Regions from separate parts of the Mus musculus genome. Here region 2 is reported to be linked to region 1. Evidence: microRNA targets listed by miRTarBase, many of them from high-throughput screens and not tested one by one. Region 1 holds a microRNA gene; the other region holds the end of a gene's coding sequence.
The links. Region 1 holds the annotated microRNA mmu-miR-24-3p (UGGCUCAGUUCAGCAGGAACAG, at 2,177-2,198, shown strand). A microRNA usually pairs through its seed, bases 2 to 8, with sites in the 3' UTR of a target mRNA and lowers its output. Matches are read on the target gene's strand: a 7mer-m8 pairs with bases 2 to 8, a 7mer-A1 pairs with bases 2 to 7 and ends in A, and an 8mer does both.

Region 1 (7,115 bases):
GCCACCCTGGATTTTGCACAGGTCCACAGGCTCCAGGGTCAAGGTCAACACAGCGGTCCATGGCCTCATTGCTCCAGGCTTCAGCATGCAGGCATCTCTCCTAGAGGCTGTGTAAACCTGAGACTCCTTGGCCTCTGGTTCTCTGACCTGTAGAGTAGGCAGCAGGTCTTCTCTGCCCCTCCATCCAAGTGACACTTGCGTCCTAAAGGCAAGTCTGTTTCCATCTCGTGCTGGAACAGGATTTACGCTGGCTCCCAGAGTCCTTGGCTGTGGTGTAACTTGCCTCCTCTGTAGCCAGCTTGTGGACCAGTAATGCAGTTCAGCCACAGGGCGTGGAGTTCTGAGACAGGTGTGGGCTAGTGCGTCTCTTTCATAGTCGCCAGTCATCATCTCTACATCATCCCAGGACATTATCGCTTGCCATGGTGGTACATATGATGTTTACTTTTGTATATGTTTGAAATTTTACATCAATCACTGTGTTACTCTGTTGTTCTCTATGATTACCAATTAATGAATATTTAGAATTGTGTTGCTAATCTTAACCCATTGTCAGACATTAAATTTACATTTTCACATTTCACTTTTATAAAACCCACTTCTGTGTAATGTTTATTTTTCTGAAGAACTACACTGATGAAGGGAAAACATGTTACTATGTATGACCATGTTGTTGCAGAAGAGCTGGGGACCGCCACAGTCAAGCAGGGGAGATAGTGGGCTGGAGTAAGCAGGTACAGCCTGCTAAGCCTGCACACTACAAGCTAGGACGGTGGCCTGTGTGGATAGACAGAGTCGGTCGGGGCGCCTCTTCACTGCCTCCTGCAGACATTTCTCTAGAAACTTGTAAGCTGAGGGATTGTTGGTATGTGGTGTGTGAAGGTCACACAGTAAAGCCACTGTTCCCTTTTTAGGTCCCTAGGCCTTCACTTAGGAAAGCCATAGTCACATAGTGGTCCTAGTGACTCTTCTAAGAGTATTTTTGCCCCCTGAGTGAGCAAATCCTCAACTTGCTAGGTCCCCTATGAGCTCTGTGCTATGCCTCAGCTTATCCAACCAAATGCTTGGTCACAGGCAAGCCAGAGAGATGCTCCCTCCCTACACACCACACCTGCTGTCTGAGGGGCCCAGAGACATCCCAACCCATTCAGTCTGCAATTGGAGAACAGGGTGTGTCCCAGGGTTAAAGGCCACATACTCAGAGCAAGGATGGTCCCTAAGGTATTGGTCTCATAGCTGATAAGTGTGTCCTTTGTCTCCCAGTCCCCTATGCTCCTCTATACAGTGCAGCCAGCGCGCTGAAGGACAGCAGGCTGCACTGCTAGCGTGGTGGGCTCAGAGGCGGTTTGGAGGACACTCAGCACATGTGGATGGGAGTGGTTGGGCATGGTGCTGCCCTCACCTGCTCTGGCTGCTTGGGTTCCTGGCATGCTGATTTGTGACTTGAGATTAAAATCACATTGCCAGGGATTACCACGCAACCATGACCTTGGCTGCTCCTGCAGAACCGTGGCTACTTTCTCTCTGCAGTTTGGAGAACAGAGGCGCCTTGTGGCTCTTTGGAAACAAAAGAAGCCAACAGCCTTCGAAGATGCTCACCAGCCCTTTAATTATGGCCGGCGATGACCTCTCTAACAAGGTGCAGAGCTTAGCTGATTGGTGAACAGTGATTGGTTTCCGCTTTGTTCACAGTGGCTAAGTTCTGCACCTGAAGAGAAGGTGAGATGGGGACAGTTAACTTGCAGCTGCCAGGCAGAGGCCACTGCCTGGTGGTCACTCCAGAGGAGGAGAGACCAGCCTGCCTCAAGGCTGTGTTGTCAAGAGTGCAAACAGCGTGCTGACCACCCTTAAGTGTGTCTACAGAAAATACAGTTCTACTGCTAATTAGTTCACTGTAATGTCAAGTGTATTGGGAGTCACAGAAAACTAAACCCAGGTGCATCAAGGAAACTGAGCCAACCTTGTCTCAGCTGATGCCACACGTGATGGGTGGGGGTGTGGTTCTTTGTCCCTGCTGGGCGTGGTGAACTCTTTCTTGTATTTGCAGTCCAGGTCTCCATGTCTCCACAGTCGCTGGCAAGATGATGCCCAGGGCACGCCAGGAGGCACTGCCCAGCTGTGATTGGACCCGCCCTCCGGTGCCTACTGAGCTGATATCAGTTCTCATTTCACACACTGGCTCAGTTCAGCAGGAACAGGAGTCGAGCCCTTGAGCAAAAAGCCTACCCATCTGTAAGTGCCTGAGGCAGGCCTCCCACGGAGAAGAAGATGAAGGGCCTGAGTGTCTGGTACCAGACCCAACAGCAGTGGTATCCCTCTGTATGTGCTCCCGAGGTGGGGATTTGTAGAGTGCAGAGCTAACCTTGGAAAGTTTGCATTCCCTAGAAGCAGGTAGGGCAGGCGCTGAGCATTTGCCACGTGTTGGGGCAGAGCACACCATGTCACCGCTGCCTTGAGCAGTGAGAATGCCTGTCTGAAGGGCCTTGTCTGTAGAGCCTTTCTGAACCTCTCTGGGCTTCACAGCCCTGCATGGCCTGTGCCGTGACTGTGCACCCCAGACCCAGGATTGTGAGGTGTGGCTTCAGTGTTGCCCCTGTCCTCCCATGAAAAGTTCCCTCTCAAGTGGAGGTCAGAGGCTGGGAGGACTCCTGTTGGAATGGCTGTGGTGACTGGGTAATAAATTTTATTGCTGTTTCCTCCACAGGACAGATCACAGTGAGATTCTCATATACCTTCTCCTAGCCCTGGTGGGGCCAGGACTGCACTGACCCTGGACATCAAAGGGAGGATTATGTGGCTGCTAAGGCCATCAGCCCACAGCAGTGGTTGGTCCATCTTGGGCTTCCAGAGACTGGGCTCCCGTGGCATATATAAAAGGCGGAGCCTCATAAACTGTTGCACCTGGCAGCTGCCTTTGTTCCCAGTCCTAGAGAGACTGAGTCTACACACTGGAATTGAGCTGTGACTTTAAGGCAGTCATTCAATGAAGGACACCCTCCCCTAGGCAGATGGAGAGCCGGTTGCCTGCTTCCTGTGATTGCAAAAACTAGCTGCCATGCTCTGAGACTGCAGAATCATGTGACACCTCCTGTGGCTGGTCCCCAAGGATTCTGCAAAGCCCTTTTGATGTGTTCAGTCAACAGAGCATTCCTGTTTTTGAAAATGCAGGAAAGCCTAAAATGTCTTAATAAAGTACCAGATTTGCTAGTGTTCCAGTTTGCTTCTGAATTTGATGCTCCTTAAAAGCAAAGAAGAACGTGTGTCAGAACAGGCACTTTCCACACACTTCCTACCTCCAGGTAATGTTAATTCTAAAAAGGTTGGAAGTAAAGGGAAATTAGTGTGGCTTGGGACTCTGCTCTCTTCCAAATGTGGAGTTTCAGCCAGCCTGGTACTAGCGGAGTCTCAGAACAAGCTCTAAGCTCTTTCAGTCACTGTCTAGAGAACGGTGCTTGAGACTGAGCCATCAGTGCAGTCACATGAGCCCAGCCAAGGCAGAGCGGTGGACAGAGGAACCAGAAGGAGCATCCCACTGGCTGGCCAGGCTTCTGCACCCAGACCTGCTGGGTGACAAAGGCTCTAGGACAGACTGAGAGGAGCGTCCGCACAGAACCATTGGTTTTCAGAGCCTGGGCTGTAGCAGTGACTGCATTTGGATGGTTGCAGGGGACTTGCAAATGGTTATCTGCTTTGTATACCACAATGGTACAAGTATCAAAGTGTGTTAATTCTACTTAATGTTACCCTGATTTCTGTGAAGACTTGAAATAAATGGCTGAGTCTATGCCTTCCTGCTCTCAGAAGCACTCTGGCCTTGCTTAGAGGTGGACTAAGAACCACACACCCTGTAAGGCCCCTCTGAGAACCTCAGTGGCCCATACCTCCTCTGAACTGGAGAGAGCAGCCAAGCACTGGTTTAGTCTGGTTTTGTTCTTTGTTCTTAGGAACCACTAAAGCAAAACAAAGCTGTCGCCTAAGGTGGGTTTTGTTCAGGGATCAAGTCCCTTGTCCCCATGGGTCACTGAGCCCTGTGCCTGGCTGTGTCTGGCTTGGGTTCTTGCCAATGGGTTTCAGGTAAGTGGAGATCTCACTGGAACCAGATGCCCATTTCACAGCTTTGGTGAAGGATCTGTGGTAGAGCTGTCCTTTGCCACCTCTGGCTGGGTGCAGAGCAAGCCTATCCTCCCCTCTCCTCTAGTCCCCCACCCCAACAAGTTAGGCAGCAGCTCCTGCCACCCATAGCTGCACCAGAGGCCCATGAGGCTGTGGAAGCAGGCTTCCCTCATCTGGCTGAGACCTCTGGAGTCAAGAAAGTGCAGTCTCCATTCTTCCGTGAGCCACCTGACTTCACAGGACACAGAACATTGCAAACGTTAACTTGTCAAATAGGATGCGAAGCAGGGTCTGAGGGCGGAAGAATGGATGTCTAGGGAGGCTTGACCTCCTCCTCTGAGCTGTCTCACCCAGGGAGGAGTTTGCTCTATAGCATATGGTTCAGGTGATGAGTGAACTGTTGGCGGAGGAAGGATGTGGATCATCACCCAGGCTCCTGCTCCAAACCACAAGTGGGCAGAGCAAGAAGCTGGATCCCTGGGTCAGTGTTTGCTGTAGACCACTCTGTAGTGCTTGGTCTTCAGAGCTTTGGTGTCCAAGCCTTAGGCAGGGGCTTGGAACCCCTCTAAGGAACTCTCCCTCCCACCACTCAGATGTGAGACTGAGCCTGTGTTGAAAGCCTGGAAGCCTGAACCTGAGTCTGCTCCTCTGTCCCTGGAGAGACTGAGACTGTCCTTGGTGGTCAGGCACACTTGTTGCCAGCACTATTTCCATGCCGTTTTCTAGCCTCACTTCATTCCTGGAGGAAGCTGAAGGGTGAGAGAAACCCAATGGGAGCAAAGTGCTCTACCACCAGGCCCATGCCTCCAGTAGGTAGAGGGGCCGGGACAGGAGGATCCGTGTGAGATAACTGCCAAGAGGTGAGTGGGATAGCAGAAACACCAGCCTCTTAACCCTGCCACTGAATACTGTCATCGTCATTGCTAAGCAGATGTCCATCACTTGAGAACAACAGGCCAGGGCTGGGCCAGCCTGTTCTCACTGATCCCACCAGAAATGGCCTCCTTCCAACCAAGACAGCCTAGAGTTACTCCATCTCTTCTCCAGAGGAGACACACCCCTCCGTGTTATCTGGGATGCTTCCGACAAGGATTAGAGCAGGCCTCAACCGGAGTGAGGCCAGGGCTACAGGAAGGGGGTGCATCTAGATCATCTGATGTTGACCCCTGGGCCATGGTTCCCTGCACAGGAGGAAACATCAGTGCCCCCACTGTGGGCTATCCTTCTGCATAGATCCTGAACCCACTGTTTTGTCCCTCTACATAGATCCTGAACCTGGCCTAGGAAGGGAGCCATCCACACTCGGATTTGTAGAAGAGAGTTGAACCCCAGGAAGGGGCAGAGGTTGGCTGGCTGGGAGCTCACCACCTTGTTTGTGAGCCTTTGGACAGAAGCCAAGGGAGAGGTACTGGGAATTCTGGCTGGACCCAGGCAGGAAGAAGGGAAGGGTGGGGTTGAGAAAGTCCCAGAAAGGACTCTGGGCGCTCTGACTCAGCTATTCCAATAGTACTGGAGGATTTTAAAGCATTTATGTATTTATTTATTCAAACGAATTTCACATCAAAAGAATGAAATAATTGATACTATAGCAAGGTATTCTTGCTTGTGGTGAGCAGAAATGTCATAGAATGTCCCCAGGGTAGAAACCAGAAATGGCAGATATCCCAAAGTAAGCAGTCCTTACCAAACGCAGAGGGTTTTTCAGGGTCCACTCCAGGCCAGTGCCAAGTTCCTACCAGGTTTTTCTCCTGACCGTGGCTTAGCAGGACATGGCTACACAAGCCCAGTGAGCGGCCAGCTAGCAGGGGATGCCACACACACAGGGATCTCTGTTATCCACAGCATCACCTTTGCCCCAACTCTCCAAAGCAGCTATGGCCCAGGAAGCAACAGAAAGCAGTACTTAGAGGATGGGATCTGAAGGGTTCACATGCAGAGCTGCTTGCTTCAGTCCTGCTGGTCCCCACCAGGCTTATACAGAGACGGAGCCAGCCAGTACAGGAACAGCACTGGCCTGGTAAGGGAAAGGAGAACACCCCGCCCCAGCTACACCTGCCAAGTAGTCCTGGGTGCTGGGCCTGTGGCCTTAGCTGGCCTGCTCCCTGAGTGGCTGGGCTGCCATACCCATTCCCACAGTATGTAGACACCTTGCTGCGGCTTAACATTGTTTCCAAAAGCTCAGTGGTTATTCAGCCCCTTGGAACACTCTCTCCCTAGGGAGTGGCCTAGCCTCATCACATCTCTGAGACTCCCAGGGCTGGCGTGGGTGGGGAGTGCCTGGACCTCCCAAGAAAGGTTTCAGGGAGTAGTCTCAGTGAGGGGGGTGAACTCACCCTAGCCACAGTGAATTCGGGGGCCCCTTGGCTGGTCTGTGGGGTTTACGAGGTGGGAGGGAGGAGCAGCCATCCGGCTATTCAGGGGACGGTTTTATGGCCCCCTTCCCACCCATTGATGCTGTCGGAGAGATTGATGAACCAATAAGGCAGTTCTCTTCAGACCAATGACCAGACAGTGTGAGACAGGGAGGAGACTGGGGCAAGCGGAGGAAGTTTCCCAGGATGGGGTGGGCTGCTGAGGAGACCGGCTCTTGGTGTTGGCATGTGTAGCCCCAGTGGGAAGACTGGCCAGAAAGAAGCCCTGCCTTGGTGGTTGATCCCGCTGGGAGTGTCCATGTCCGTGTTCTCGGAGAAGCATAGGAAACAAGAGGTACAGTCACCAGAATGTGGCCTCAGCAGCTGGCGATGGCCCCAGAAACCTGGCATGACAGGACGTGTGTGCAAGCTTGGGTTGGAGATACAATGCCCTTTCTCTTCAGCTGGCTTGTAAAATCAAATCTGGCCAATTCAGTGAAACAGGCTTGGGCTGGCTTATGAGTCCCCGAGGACAGAACAGGAATGAGTATGGGACCTCTCCCATCTGTCCTGGGTCCACCACTGTCTCTTGTCTGTATAATGACCTTACCTAGGCACTGGCAGGGTGGACCAGGAACATGGACGGGGCAG
Region 2 (7,115 bases), not on the chromosome of region 1:
GTTGGGAAAGCTCAGGTTTGAGGGACATGAAGTAAAGTAGGATGTGTGGATCAAGAGACAGAGACAGGGGTGTGGGGGTGGGAAATGGTTCAGATGAACAGCAGGAGACGAGCTAAAGACCACGACAGTATCTGTAAGGAACTGTAAAGGTATGCAATGTGGGACCAGGGAGGGCAAAGAGACAGAGAGAAGGCAGTGTGTGGAGAATGAGGGAGGCTCGAGTCAAACTGTCATCATTTAGTCGACAGCGTTCCCTTGGTCAGCTTCCCCTCAGTCACAGGCTTCCTATTCCCCATCCTCACTTAGGACCTTGTCTGACTCCTGGGTCTCTTTCCATTTCCCACCTCCCACCTCGTAAACATCACAGCCCAGAAATCCCTGTCTCCCAGTGGTGGTGGCCTCTGGAAGCCTTGTGCTTAGGCAGTAGACTAGAGAAAGCAGAGTCCTGGCACTTCTAGCTGAGGTCCAGAGCTCTAGCACTTCTTTGGGTAAAAGAGGCCTCTGTAACTGCACAGGAATAAGAGAACTCACTACAAAACAAAGGTAGCTACTTCCTGCCAACTTCTTACATTTTACCAGCTCAGCTGTAGCTGCAGCCTCAACCCCTAACGCTATCACCAATTCCTAACATTAATGCTGACTTTATTTCCTATTTCCCTATACATTGACATTCACCCCTTTCCCAGAAGACACCCATACTAATCTGGCTTTTATTTTTAGGCCCAAATCCCCCAAATTTAACCCTAAATACTCCCTCCCACCCCACCCTGCAGTTCTAAAGCTCATTTGTAACTTGGTTCTTAATTAACCTTTTCACTGTTTATTCTTAATACTGACCATGACACCGGCCTTTAATCCCTAAAACGGGCATCTAAGCCAATTCCTGTTGATCCTTAACCCGATCCTGTACTCTGACTTAATGCTGGTCATTGCAGAAAATAATGACCTCAGTTTAAATGTCACATATGCGAAACAGACTTGACTCGTGCAGCAAATGTTTAGAATGTAGTTCACCTTCTTAACTTCTAAAGGGATCCTTGCTTCCTAAACGCGACGGCACCTAACCCAAACTCACCCCAAGTTTTCCTAACCACTTACTCACTATCGGCTAATACCAAAGCCCATCCCCGCCCAGTGCCTCACTGCCACCCAGTGCCTCACTGCCACCCCATTTCTACCCGTCCCCAAACCTAGCCGAGACAGAGAACTGTCTACCCCCGCGAAAGGGCCTGCTTCTCGCAACAAGGCCAGCTTAATTCCAAATCCAAACCGAAACATACTGGACCCTGACCTCCCTAACCAGACACAGGATATGCAGGAGGATTGGGGGCCCCGCCCGCCGCTTCCCGGGCTGGCCCGATCCCGCAGCCCCACCTAGAAGCTCGGCCCAGCCCGTCCGGCCTACCTGCGCTGCCCGGCTCTGCGCCCCGCCCTGGGCCCGCTACCCGCTCCTTCTCCCGGTCGCTTTTGGGGCTCCGGCCTCGCCCTCCCTTCGACACACTCTCGGCCACTTCCGTCCTGGAAACGTCCCCCACCCGCCGGCGGCGCCCTGGGCCCGCGCTCTATGGTAGCGGAGACTGCAGGAAGCTGCTCTGGCCGTAGTTCTCGATGCTCGGGCGCCCGCGAAGCCTGGCCGCCCCTCCCCAGCAGGAAGCGAGCGTGCAGAGCTCTGGAGAGAACGCCCGAACTAAGCTGGAGTTCCCTTTTAAACGCTTAAGTTTTTTTTTTTAATAGCTCGAGGCGAAGGCGGACAAGGATCCTCAGAATCCCCGCCCTGGGGCGTGGGAAGCTTGAAAGGACGTCCCCATAATTTGCATAGCCCCCGGGACGTGGCGCAGCCCAGGAGCCACTTCCGAGTTGGAGAGAACTCCAAGTCCCAGGATTCCACGGGGCTATGTGCACCACTTCCGTTGTGTTGGAAGCTGAGGAATACAGAAGCTGAGAGACGGGTGCGGTTTAGAGTGACAGCTAGGCCCTTGTCCCGGAGTGACGGAGGTTAAGTCGAGCCGACTGGACAGACTGAGGGGTCGTGCCTGAGGTTCGGAGGTTGGATCTGCGCGGAGGGATTTCTATCCATAGATATCCCAAATGGATCCTGGTGGTCAGGATCTGCTAGCTTTGGATCCCGGTGATCAGGACCTGCTGGGCTTCCTGCTAGAGGAAAGCGGAGATTTGTGGGCTGCGACTGAGCCGGACGTGAAGGCTCCGCTGGACTTAGAGCTGTCACCTTCCGAGGTGGGTGGGTGGGTGTTCCCAGTGGGGGAAGCTAGGGATGTCCGCGAGACCCAAGGTACGGAAATAAATCAAGGCCTTTGAATTTGATAGAACTCCGTGCAAGAACTGAGCGACTGGGAGGTAGAGGATTTACTGAGCTCTCTGCTCAGTCCCTCAGTATCGCGGGATGTTCTCGGCTCTTCCAGCTCTTCCATTCTCCATGATCACAACTACTCCCTTCCACAGGAGCACGTCTCCATAGATCTAGGTGAGTGTGAAATGATAAGTTGTGGGGGAGGAGAGAGCTCACTGGGCTAGCTGGTTCTACTTTCCCTTTTGCAGATACTGAGAGCTTCGAAAAGGAGGGGTTCCACGTGACTCCACTGCCAGGGGAGGAAAGAGCAGCGGAACAGGTGCTGGACTTGATTTTTTTTTTCAGGATTACCTCACTTTGCAGCAGCCAAGATCCCCCATACTGCTCTGAGAGCTCCATGCAACTCTGCTCTCTTCACTATTTCCTCCATCCTTAGGAGATGTCTAGGCTGATACTGACCGAGGAAGAGAAGAAGCTCTTGGAGAAGGAGGGGCTCACTCTGCCCTCAACCCTTCCTCTCACTAAGGTAAGGCTCCTGTTGGTAGAGCAAAGGCTGGAGGGGGTTGGTAACCCAAGTAGGCAAGCTCAGTTTGTTTCATATCAATCACTTGCAAAAGGACAAACCAACTCCTACAAGTTCTCTCATCTCCAAACACACACCCACGTCAAAAGATAATGTTTTAAATGTAACTTTAGTACAGAGCCTTGAAAGTGAAGGGCCTTGATAGCTTCCGTTGTTATCTTGGGACCTCGAATCATACTCAGTGGTAGAAATGCTTGAGAGGCTGACTCAGTCTAACAACATCAACAATCGTCAAAGCTGGACATGATGGTGCACCCCTCTATAACCCTAGCACTCTGGAGGCAGGAGCAGGAAGGTCTTCACAAGTTCAAAGTCACTTCCCACGTGCTGGGATTACAAGAATACTGCATCTAGTTTTTGTGGCAAATTTTTTTAATGTCATTTGCCTTTTTAATATTGTCTTACTTCTGATATGTAGATATTTACTTATTTGGGGCAGGTGGATCAGCATTAACGGACAGACTTAGCTTCATGTTGAGTTCAGGCAAGCTTGGGCTATGTGAGAAACCATCCCCTATCCCTCTATCACTATTACAAGATGAATGAGCAATATATTGGGAGGAAAGGAAACGGAACTTGGAAATTATCAATAGTGGTTCTGTCCCTAGGATAGTAACTGTCTTGTCTTCCTTTACACTGGCCAGAGCATGCCATAATTCCCCTACCCACTGGGATTGGAGTACAGTACCTCATGAATGTTCATCAATGCTCACTGCTGAGCCACGCCCTCTGGCCCTTGTTGTTAAGGCAGGGTCTTGTAAACCCAGGCTGGGCTGGCCTCAAACTATGTAGTAGGGAAAGAATGCCTTTGAATTCCTGATTCTCCTGCTTCTAACTCCCTCGGACTAGATTACAAGTGTATGATGTCACTCTTGGCTAGTGTCCAAGTTTGACAGGCATTATCAGAGAATGTAAGAGTTAACTTTATTCAGTTTTAGTTTCTGAAAGAAAAAAAGTTGAAAGTACCTTAAGATAAGGATATATTCTATATCACTTTAGAGACTCTAGGAAAATCAAATGAATGGAAATTATAAGAAGATTGATGTTGCTTTAGGATAAGGGTAGATGTTGTTGTTGTTAGTTTTGAGACATGGTCTTATGTAGCTCAGTCTGTCCTCAAAAACTACCCTAGCCAAGGATGGTCTTGAAATCCTGACTTCCTTCTTCTGCCTCCCAAGTGCTGATACTACAGGCATGTACAACCACACCTAGCTTAAGTGGAATTTTTAAAATTAATTAGAGACTGGAAAGATGATTCCGTGGTTTAGAGTACTTTCTGCTTTTCCATGGGGCATGAGTTCAAGTCCCAGCTCCCACATGGCAGCTTACAATCCGAGGAGATCTGACACCCTCTTCTAGCCTATGTGGGCACTAGGCACACCCATTATACATATACGTTATACAGACATGCAGGCAAAACACCCAAACACATAAAAAATAATAAAAAGTCTGGCTTTCTAGTGTTGAATATCTGCTCCTTGGTGTTCACACAGAAGGTAAATGCCTACTGACAGAGAGGCTGTGGAGAGTATTTGATTGGGAAGAAGGTTAGCTGTCTTCCAACATACCTATGTAGTATATATAGGTATAACATACAGGCATATAATAACATACTGTGGGTGACCTTTCCCCCATCTTCTCTTAGGTGGAGGAACAAGTTCTGAAACGAGTGCGGAGGAAGATTCGTAACAAGAGAGCAGCTCAAGAAAGCCGCAAGAAGAAGAAGGTGTATGTCGTGGGGCTGGAGAGCAGGTAAGCAAGGATGGACACGGGGGAAGCCTGGAGGGTCTTGAAGGGAGGAGACACAATATTTTGAAATCCACGTGTCCTCACATCCATGTTGTCCTCTAGGGTCTTGAAATACACAGCTCAGAATCGGGAGCTGCAGAACAAGGTGCAGCGTTTGGAGGAACAGAATCTGTAAGCGGCCATTTGAAGACAATCGGTTTTTTAATGCTTTCTCACTCTTTCCACTGTTCCACATGACTTCCAACTGGATAGCTCAAAAATGCAGACATCCGGAAGTTAGCCATGTCTCAAGCGTGATGGAGAATAAACTTATAAGTAGCTAAGGAGCAATTAAGTACCAAGATAGAGAAGTAAGAAAAGACTGCAGGTCGTCAGCGTCATTGCAGTTGCAGCTGTGGGGATGGGACTGGGAGGAGAGAAGGCTGCATTGTGCTTGGCTGGCTCTAGCTCTGGGGTTGGGTAGAGAGCACAGGGCTTGGTGGGGAAGCACAAGCTTAGTTGATCAGGTACTGCAGCTACTGGAGAGTTTTTCTTGAAGGTATTTAAGTCAGGACAGAGCAGTTTGATTTTTTTTTTGTCTCACTAAGGAATCACAGGCATTTGTGCACAAAGACACTTGGGGTGAGGGGGAAAGGCAAGGAAGCTGAGACTGGATCCACAGCATGAGTGGAGAGGGTAGCTAAGACAGGAGGCCTTCATCGTGCCTTGCATGCTCGGCCAGAGCATGCGCACTACCGTCTCCTCTCGTCTCTTAGGTCCCTTCTAGATCAACTGAGGAAGCTTCAAGCCATGGTGATTGAGATAGCCAACAAAACCAGCAGCGGCAGCACTTGTGTTCTGGTGAGGAGGGTGACAAGAGATCCTTTCCCTGGCAGAGATGGGGTGTGTGACCCAGAGCTCTTCACCCCCTTCTTCTCCCTGTGTTCTAGGTCCTCGTGTTCTCCTTCTGTCTTCTCCTGGTACCCGCTATGTACTCCTCTGATGCAAGGGGAAGTGTGCCCGCGGAGTATGTTGGTAAGAGGCTTAAGGACACCTTCGGGCGTGGTCTGTGGTAGAGAGAGGGCTTCTTCTGTGTGGTCTCCTGACCAGTCTTTGTCTCTTCAGTGTTGCACCGCAAGCTTCGTGCCCTCCCCAGCGAGGACGATCATCAGCCGAAGCCATCTGCTCTATCGTCAGAGCTACCCATGGACAGCACACACCAGTCACTGGACAGCTCAGAACATATGTTCTTGGTCTCCAGCAACTTTTCCTGTGTACTGTACCACGCGCCTCAGGCAGAGCAGCCCCTGCACTGGCCACTCTGGGATCTTTCTTCAGAGATGCTCTTCTCCGACTCCAACCTTCTCCTGCAGGCAAACCTTTCAGAAAGCGAGGGATGGCAACCTAACCACAGCCCTTCTTTGGTCATCTTTCAGGGCAGGTATTCAGGTTAGGTGTGAGGATGTGGGGTGTCCTCAGCCTGAGGACTCCTGTCTGTATTCAAATAAAAAGGAGCAGGGGAAAGCTGGCCTTTGCTCACGTGCTCTGTTAGGATGCCCAGGAACTCAGACACACCACACTAACTAGTTTTCTGAGTATTTTATTTATACCCATATGTATCTGTTGCCCCGTGAATAGATTTGGAGACATTTACTGGCCTTGAATACTTCATCCATGGAAGGACTGGGTAGGGTAAGAAATAAATAAGTGGTTCCTCAGCCCCTTTTTACTGGCACAGCTGGGAAGGAAGAGGGGCGCGATTGTCCTATTGGCTCAGGGCTGCAGGACTTGTGGGAGGAAGGAGGAGGTCCAGTGTGGAGGCTGGGCCTCCACAGTTCAGAGGGATCACTCTGAATTGAGGTTTGCCAGCGATCTCTTTGGTCCACATTCAGGCTGTGTGCTTAGTCCCGTGCCTTGTGTGACTGATGGCCTGCGGCTCTTTTTATGCTGCTGCTGTTGCAGGGCCAGCTGCATGGCCCAGATGCTCAGTGGCCGCATGTAGGCCAGGGAGCGGAACACTTGTTGCTGGCAGTATGCCTCTGGGGTCTGGAAAGCCAGGCCCAGGCGTTCCCATACAGTGCGGTAACAGCCTTCAGCTGTCCGGAAACCTTCCCAAGTCAGGCCCTGTGGGGAGACGTAGAAGTCACACATAATAACTGACTCTTGGCACAATTACCTTAGCTGAGCAGAGAAGACAGGAGGCCGTTCGCCCTAAAGGCAAGAACTTAAAGGCAAGAGGTGGAACACTTATTAGGGAGAAGGGCGCTCTGTGGACGGATAAGATGGCAGGCAGTAGGGTGTTCTTGGAATAAAGTTAGTGGCTGAGGAAGTTTTCTGGACCTCAGTACAAATGGTGAAGGGCTGGGAAGAGAATTCATTACCTCTTGGATCATGGTGGCTGCCAGCCCATAGACCACACCCACCCAGACTTCATCAGACTGCACACTGGATCTATCAGGGACACCATGAGGGTGCATCCCGTTCACGGCCCCCATG

Region 2: the mRNA of Gba2 is a reported target of mmu-miR-24-3p. Seed matches in the 3' UTR shown: 8mer at 6,389-6,396.

Annotation. Positions count from the first base shown.
Region 1 is chr13:63,299,075-63,306,189 of GRCm38, forward strand. It overlaps Mir24-1 (microRNA 24-1), which reads left to right and starts at 2,134; the gene lies at 2,134-2,201. It overlaps Aopep (aminopeptidase O), which reads left to right. Exons shown (of 16, transcript NM_001289926.1): 16 at 1-3,803. Mir23b (microRNA 23b) reads left to right here and starts at 1,410; the gene lies at 1,410-1,483. It overlaps Mir27b (microRNA 27b), which reads left to right and starts at 1,638; the gene lies at 1,638-1,710. It also overlaps Mir3074-1 and a transcript of Fancc not described here.
Region 2 is chr4:43,560,725-43,567,839 of GRCm38, forward strand. Gba2 (glucosidase beta 2) reads right to left here. Exons shown (of 17, transcript NM_172692.3): 16 at 7,001-7,115; 17 at 6,204-6,743. The coding sequence ends at 6,465. Tln1 (talin 1) reads right to left here and starts at 1,859. Exons shown (of 57, transcript NM_011602.5): 1 at 1,406-1,859. It overlaps Creb3 (cAMP responsive element binding protein 3), which reads left to right and starts at 1,934. Exons shown (of 9, transcript NM_013497.4): 1 at 1,934-2,235; 2 at 2,326-2,482; 3 at 2,557-2,627; 4 at 2,745-2,834; 5 at 4,537-4,643; 6 at 4,743-4,811; 7 at 5,396-5,480; 8 at 5,570-5,654; 9 at 5,745-6,337. The coding sequence starts at 2,089. The coding sequence ends at 6,073.